Linked DNA regions of Neurospora crassa OR74A. The protein of the gene in region 1 interacts with the protein of each later gene in a pairwise test. Links are inferred from orthologs where the notes say so. Each region holds a gene or a part of one and is shown in the gene's direction. Other genes may lie near its edges.

Region 1 (4,106 bases):
TCAACAAGCTCACGTCAATGCCATGGCAACCGAGATGTTCGCAATTCAAGAGACTGGTCTGCTATCTAGATGCGGCTGGGCACCGACACTTTGCTGACCGCTCCGTCTCTTGGTATATACTGTGTAGTGTATCGACAGCCGAGAGGAAATGGGGTATAGTGTGGTGTACATACTGCGTATGCCAACAAGACAGGAGCTTCCATGTTTTTAATATCATGTCCCGTCCTTCCTCCCACCCCATCCCCTTCCTCCATGTTCACTACTAGACTGTCAAGAGAGTCCTGGACCCTGATAATGGATGGCTGAGAACAAAGCCCAGAGCTATCAGCAAATTACTACCTATGTAGTGTACACTAGGGACACCCAAAATAGGCGACCGGAAGGAAGAGGCCCATGGCGCACTGTGCCTGTTCCTGTACCTTTTGGCGTTGGTTCAGGGGTTCTGGGCAGGCAGTCTGGAGATTAGCAGTTATCGCCGCCGCCCACTGGACCATCTTTGCTGCTGGAGACTCGCCTCGCCTGCCTTCGCTCGCTCGCAAAGCTTCCACTTCCTCTGAGTACACTACTAAAATCCTGGGGGGCCACGGCAGCAGCGCGTGCTTTCCCCCTTTGATCGACAGCCAGCCGAGCCAGCGCAGCGTGTCGGGTGTCGGATTACTGCGGTATGGATGTCTAAAAGTGGTTCGAGTGGTAATTTGGCCCGTCCCCACCGTGCACTTTTGCGCTTGTCATCAAAGTTGAAGAAACAAAAAAAAAAAAAAAGGTCGAGAGTCATGTTCGGGAGATGGCCTTATTAGCCTTATGCAGCAAGTCCGGGGTAGCGAAAAAGGGGAACAGGAAGGAACATGACGACGACGATTTCAAGGTCGGTCCACTATTAATATCACCAAAATCAGCTCTCTTTTCGCGTGCAAATAGCTGAATTACGGTAATGGAGGTGACGGTGTTAATTGTAGAAGAGGACCGGTACGTACCGCTTGCTGAGGATTCGGGCCACTCACAAGTCACATCAAGCCAGCACCTCCCTTGTCTGGCCCTTTGCTCTTGGCTCGTCTCGCACCCCTACCGGCTCCTGTACAAGTGATGGGGTATTCCGACACAAAATGCAGTATCTAGGTAGGGACCTAGTGTGTTGGATGAAAAATTAGGTCGGTAGGTGTCGTCTGCCTTCCTCTTACCACACAGTACCTGTAGCCTCCAGGCTGCGACTGCTGCCAGATGGGACTGTGTGAACCCGACTGAGTGACTGCCTGTGCCTGGACAGCCCGCCCGTTCCCTGGGGCTTCTCTGGGGCTACCCACTGCCTCGCTCACCTCACCACACACGGCAGCACCCACTGCCCTCCCAGCCCAGTCTGACTGCCCGGCCCTGGTTCGCTGGCTAAGGTTTCCACCCTCTTCCAACCTTGCCCGTGGGAGTCCTGCACCTGGCTATCTGGTGGTCCCCCCGTCCCCGTTCCCCGTCTCCGTCTCCGTCACAACACAACTCACAACTTGAACAGGTTAGCACACCACCAGCGGCCACTACCTACCTACCTACCACCACCACCGTCCATCCTTCAACAACCACCCAACACCCCCATCTCCATTTTCCTTCCCTTTTCCATTTTGCATCTTTTATCGACCAAATCCAGGCCGCGTGATACCCTCTCCCGTCCTTTGCATACAACCCGTCGACAACGAACAAAGCACCGTCCGTCGACATCACTCAACTCAACTAAACAACTTAATCTCTCCTCCCCTATTCACACAACCACCAAACCGACGCCATGTCTGCTGAACTCCGCCGAAAGCTCGTCATCGTTGGCGATGGTGCCTGCGGCAAGACCTGTTTGTTGATGTATGTCCATTTCCCCTATCCACATCCAAGAGATTGATGCTGCTCTTATAAGGCGCGCGTCGTCGTCGTTGTCGTCGTCGTCGTCGTCACCGCCGCTCTCCCCCCATCACAACCTTTTTGCTAACCGAATTTCCAGCGTCTTCTCCAAGGGAACCTTCCCCGAGGTAAGTCAGGCACTTGTCTGTCGGGACTGAGACGTCCATCTACACACCTGCCCTCGACCGTCTGTTCGCTACACCGCCCCAACCGCCTGACGAAACACGCATCTTCCTGCCAATTCCCGCGTCTCGCCTCCCCCCCCGAACAGGCTACATCCATCTCCTCAGCCCGATGAACCATCAAGCCATCAAATTCGAAACACCCGCCCTGTCGCCATCATATCCGCATCCGAATAAGCGCTGCTCAGCCAGCTAACTCTCTGCGCCCAGGTCTACGTCCCTACCGTTTTCGAGAACTACGTCGCCGATGTCGAGGTTGATGGCAGACACGTCGAGCTCGCGCTATGGGATACGGCTGGTCAGGAGGATTATGACCGTCTCCGTCCCCTGTCCTACCCCGACTCTCACGTCGTCTTGATCTGCTTCGCCATCGACTCTCCCGATTCGCTCGACAACGTTTCCGAGAAGGTCAGTATCCCGCCTGCTTACTTGGCGCGCCCTTGTCTTTGAGGCTACAATTCGCTAACAATCAAAAACAGTGGCACTCTGAGGTTCTTCACTTCTGCCGTGACGTTCCAATCATCCTCGTTGGCTGCAAGAAGGATTTGCGCCACGACCCCAAGACCATTGAGGAGCTCCGCAAGACCAGCCAGAAGCCCGTTTCCCCCGAAGAGGTACGTGAGGCTGAGACATTGGCGGCTGATGATGCCCCTTTTGTTTCCAAGTGCTTTCCCTCCGCTTGCTCGGGAATGTATGCTAACGCGCTCATCAACAGGGTGAGGCTCTGAGGAAGAGGATCAACGCCCACAAGTACCTCGAGTGCTCGGCCAAGACCAACGAGGGTGTCCGTGAGGTGTTCGAGAACGCGACAAGAGCCGCCCTTCTCAAGAAGACAAAGACGAAGAGGGGCCTCTGCAAGAGCTCGGTCTAAACAAACCCACAGCTCTTTAGAGAGATGCTTTTATTTCTACCGCACGACGAACAACATCATCTGCACCAAGCCCTCCCCGGATAGCCTCGCAACATGTAATCAAGCAACGGTTTTCAAAGCGAAAGATGATCATCACCTTAGTTGATAATTCTCTGCCCATGACGCCGTCAATGCTGCTACCGAGCGGATAATATTTCACAGAGAGAAGAAGAAAGGGGTGTGGAGAGCGCAAATGGGGAGGGGCTTGGGATTTCGGGGATACTTATGGGCCTTACTACTCGATATTTAGGGAGGATAACTGGGTCTGGACTCCTTTCCACTATTTCTGTGTGTGTGTGTGGTCGGCGTGGACGGGTGCGTGGCTTGTGTTCATGTATACACAAACGGAGGACACCTGAGGGCGGTAAAGGGAAAGAGAAAGACTGGAGAAAGGAGTTTTGCGGTTCAATATTTCTTGTTTCTTCTGGAATCACATGCCGCGTCTCTGGCCCCCCTTACCTGTCTCCTTTATTTCTCTTTCTCTGTCACTGCCCGTGTGCGTCTGTCTCTTATCTCTCTCTCTGTGTCTACCTGTCTGTTATTAATCTCTAGTTTTATCGCGTTCTTGTTTATCTGTCTCCGTCTGCTGCTGCCGCTGCATGGTTCAAATTGGGATTTTGAGATTGAATGTTCCGTATAGTTTGGGCGATCGGCATGGCGAGGCCGCCGAATGTCCCTGCTACTTCCATAGACCGTTGACGACAATTGCTGTTACCTACTGTACATCCTCAGACCATTCATTGCCCGTCCCCTCTTGCAATACTCATGTCAACCACTGACACGAGCACAGACTTCTTCTACGTCAGTCAGCCCGTTTGTCTACTTAGTCTTTGAATCCGAAGTTCAGTAATCATCACGCTTTGCCGACTATGCAATCCGACGGGAGAGGCCGCCGCCAGCTCCAGACCCAAACGTGAAACAGTTGATTGAATGAAGGACGTCATGTCTATCAAGGGTAAACCTAGTTAATGTTCCCGAGTCATCACACTCAGCGCGTGAGGTATGCCAGAAAGGCATGATTGGTCTTGACAGCCAACGAAGCTAACACTTGCAAGTAAGCTATGATGTGCCATACATTATACACTTTGCATCTCGAACACTCTCTGGGACTTCTTCATCATAGCCAACAGAGGGGGGAA
Region 2 (3,940 bases), on another chromosome or scaffold:
GACGCTCTCATGATTCTGTTCCCCTTATTTGTGTAAGCTCAACCGTACTTGAACCAGTGCGTTAAAGACATTGATTGCATGGTGTTCTGACATTTCGGGTAACCCTCTCATTGTTCATACGAACCCCGCTTGACGAACACAGTGACAGTAGGATTGACTTGATTGGAGATAGGGCTGCCTCCAACCACCTAACAATGGAATCATATCGTCGAGTCTTTCACACTTCCTCAGCCTTGCTCAGTGCCAATGGCATCATCGCTATTCAACGCCGTGCCACTTGGATGAGAAATTCTCTATACTGGATGATGCTCTATCGCAGATTCCAAAAACAGTCAAGGATGGACTCGAAGTTGTAATAAGTTGAACCCCTTTTGTGCCCCTAGTCGACGGGGAATCGCCTCCCCGCAATTCTAGGAACAACAACGTTCTGACCTGGTGGATCGCCTAACCACCGAGCAACAAGTGACAATTCGATCTCCCCATCGCAAGCTGAACATCAACCCAGTTCATCTCGCTGAACTTCTTGATTAAAATCTCTTGAACCCCAGATCTAGAAAAGTTGACCGGGACATGACTTTTTACGCATCTACACGGCTTCTCCCAGTATAACATCAGCCCCCATTCCGTATCACAACCGCCCGGAAGTGCAACAAAACGACCTCGGAGCGCACGCGGGCATAGGTATTTTGCTGCACCCTCGTAAACAATCCGACTGATCGGCCATCTGGCGGCACAGCCAACCCGGGCAGGACAAGCTATCAAGAACGGGGGATGTGATAGGACAGCCCATCTAGAATAATACCATCCTCCTCCCTCCATCTTGACGTTCCATCTTCACGTTCTTGTTGTATCGTGATGTTTCTCATTTTTGACCAGACCACTGCCATGCTTGGCGTATCTGCCTCTTCACCTGCACCTACCTCTAACATCTGAACATCAAAAGTTAGGTAGCTAGCTGTGGTCAAGAGTCCCGTCGTTGATCCAGATGCAGCCAACCAAGGAAGACGGGACCAGATCAAAGCCCACGCTGGTTCCTGATGCTCCACTTTTGATTGCAAATGGCCCCTGTAGAAGCCCTGCGCTCAGTGGTCGGTCATTCGGTCGGGTCCCATCAGCCATCCCATCAGCCATCATCCACCGCACACCTCTGCCCTGGCCTGGCTGTAGGAGTGTAGTTCGACATTCCAGCCCCGTACCCGTACATTGGCGACCTTGACCCTTCAGTTCCTCTCCCCCTCTCCGTCTCCGTCTCCGTCTCCGTCCCCGTCCCCGTCTACCGTGTTCCAATCGACGACAGAGAGGTAGACCAACTGAAGGCCGTGCTTCTTGCTGCGCAGGTGGTCGGCTACACTTGGCGAGTAGATTGCAGATTGCCTGCACAGTTTCGTACCTCTACCGAATCGACCTGTCCATCAGACCTACCTACCTACCTACCTACCTACCCTACCGTACCTGTACAGCGCCCCAGCACCGCCGCCGACCGAAGAACAATCGAAATACCTACGACAGGAGCGAGCGAGCGAGCGAGCACCTCGCATCAACCTCTAGCCTGCATCGCACCAGCAGCACCACCCGACTCGCCTCCCTCGCCAGCCGTCCGCCCGCCCGCCCGCCGCCGCCGTCATGGCCGACTATCATCAAGACCCCCGGTCCCGATCCAATCACCCGCAGTACGGCCCTCCCCCCGGCAGTCGCGGTGGTGACGGCTACGGACAACGAGATGCCGCCTTCTCCAACATCTTCGGCGCCGCCCCGCCCCCCGGCCGATCGCATACCATGACTTCCTCCGTCCCACCCCCTATGATGCACCTCAACGAGGGCCGAACCCATACCATGTCGTCCACGTCGGGAGCCTCCATGCAGAGACCGCCGCAACAGCGCCCCCCACCGCCCGGCGGACCCGGAGGAGGAGGCAGTGGATCAGGGGAAAGAGGAGGCTATGGTGACCCCCGGGCGCGCCTTGACACGAATGGATACGGCCAGAGCCAGCGCTCCGTCTCCGCCGGACAGCAAGTTCCCTCTGCTCAGTACCTACAACAACAACAAGCGGCGCGACGACCCCCTCCTGGCGCCTACCCCCCTCAACATGCTCCGAGGGGCGACTCTGTGAGGGCCGATTCTCTTAGGGGCCCTGCGCCCCAGGGTTTCTACAACAATGCCTCGCGATCTCCTGCCCAGGCTTATTACAACCAGCCGGGGGGCAGACCGGCGCCGGCCTTGAACTCCGACCCCTACCGATCACAGTCGCTTGCGAGCGTTCCCCGGCCACAGATGTATCAGGGTTCGACCCCGCAACAGTCGCCAGCCAACGCTTTCCGCCAGGCTCAATACACTGGGAGCTCGGCTCGGACAACCGCACAGGGGCGCATTGTGCCCGAGAGGCATATGGAAGACCGTGCCATGTCCATGACCGGCTACCCCTCATACGACCGCGATGCCCACCAAACTCCTAGCGGAAGAGTCATACCCAACAGGAGGGCACCAGGATCCAGCCCAGACCATGGCCCTGCCCCTTCGCAATACCCAGCTCCCGGAAGCCAGTCGGGAAGAACGGTCAGCATCACGTCCACGACAACCGTCGACCCGAATGGGCGAACCATGTCCATGGCGTCCACTATCGCTCCTTCGATAGCGCCGACGGAACGGAACGAAGATGGGACCTTGGTACATCGCTACTCGGGCGGCGCATCGTCCATGACGGGCGACCGGCCCGTTACCGTCAAAATCAGGATGCCTCTGGTATACCCGGCTCTTCTGTCCCGCGTGGCCGAAACGTTCCGGCGCAAGATTGTTGTAGGAGATAGGACCAAGAACGAACTGACCTACAAGAACGCTTTCAGCGGTGCCGAAGCCGTCGATGTGCTGTCATACATTATCAGGACGACGGATCGAAACTTGGCCCTGTTGCTGGGTAGAGCTTTGGACGCCCAAAAGTTCTTCCACGATGTTACCTACGAACACCGCCTGAGAGATTCAACCTACGAAATGTACCAATTCAGGGAAACACTGACCGATGACGAGAAGCCAGCGGTCAATGGTGTTTTTGTCCTGCTATCCGAATGTTACTCTCCAACATGCACACCCGATCAGCTCTGCTACTCTATCGCATGCCCTCGCCGTCTCGAGCAAATGGCCAAGCTGAACCTGAAGGGAGGAATTGGCCTCAAGCAAGAAGGAAAAGCCGCGGTCAACGATGACGATGTTGACCAGACCGACGAGCAAAAGTTGTGGATTAACAGCGTACCAAAGGAGATTGCGGACAGTATCGGCGACAGAGAGAAGAAGAGGCAAGAGGTTATTAGTGAGATCTGCTACACAGAAAGGGACTTTGTCAAGGATCTCGAGTATCTGCGAGATTTCTGGATCTACCCTCTCAAGGGCAAGATCAACGGCCATTCTCCGATTCCTCTACAACGGCGGGAGCGCGTTGTACGGACAATCTTCACCAACATTATCGATCCTCCAAGCATTCACGGCGTCAGTTCAAAGTTCGCCAAGAGTCTCACTGAACGGCAACAAAAGACGCCAGTCGTTCAAAATATTGGAGATATCTTTTTGGAATTTGTCCCTCAATTCGAACCATTCATCCTTTACGGTGCGAAGCAGCTGGAAGGCAAATTCGAATTCGAGAACGAACGGTCCATCAACAAGGACTTTGCAAGATTTGTGGACGAGGTTGAACGCCGCAGAGAGTCGAGAAAGCTGGAGCTGAACGGTTACCTCACCAAGCCAACCACACGTCTGGCGAGATATCCTCTACTTCTAGAAAACGTTCTCAAGTATACGGAAGAAGGTAATCCGGACAAGGAGGATCTTCCCAAGGTCCTGACTATGATCAGAGATCTCTTGAGCAGGGTTAACGCGGAGTCGGGCAAGGCTGAAAACCGCTTCAACCTGCGCCGTCTGCACGAGCAGCTCAAGTTCCGCCCCAACGACAAGA

The links. The genes of interacting proteins can lie anywhere in the genome.
Region 2: the proteins of rho-1 (region 1) and rgf1 interact in a two-hybrid assay, tested with the Saccharomyces cerevisiae proteins (3 studies listed by BioGRID, with this or other methods). The link is inferred for Neurospora crassa OR74A from reciprocal best matches to the Saccharomyces cerevisiae genes RHO1 and ROM2.

Annotation. Positions count from the first base shown.
Region 1 is NC_026502.1:3,340,894-3,344,999, forward strand, and holds rho-1 (rho-type GTPase), read left to right. Parts: upstream 1-1,306; 5' UTR 1,307-1,768; coding exon 1,769-1,839; intron 1,840-1,975; coding exon 1,976-2,003; intron 2,004-2,267; coding exon 2,268-2,465; intron 2,466-2,536; coding exon 2,537-2,671; intron 2,672-2,772; coding exon 2,773-2,928; 3' UTR 2,929-3,807; downstream 3,808-4,106. UniProt on the Saccharomyces cerevisiae protein: Acts as a central regulator in the cell wall integrity signaling pathway, which is regulated by the cell cycle and in response to various types of cell wall stress.
Region 2 is NC_026501.1:7,628,792-7,632,731, reverse strand, and holds the start of rgf1 (rho guanyl nucleotide exchange factor), read left to right. Parts: upstream 1-1,140; 5' UTR 1,141-1,623; coding exon 1,624-3,940. UniProt on the Saccharomyces cerevisiae protein: Stimulates the exchange of RHO1 GDP-bound form into GTP-bound form.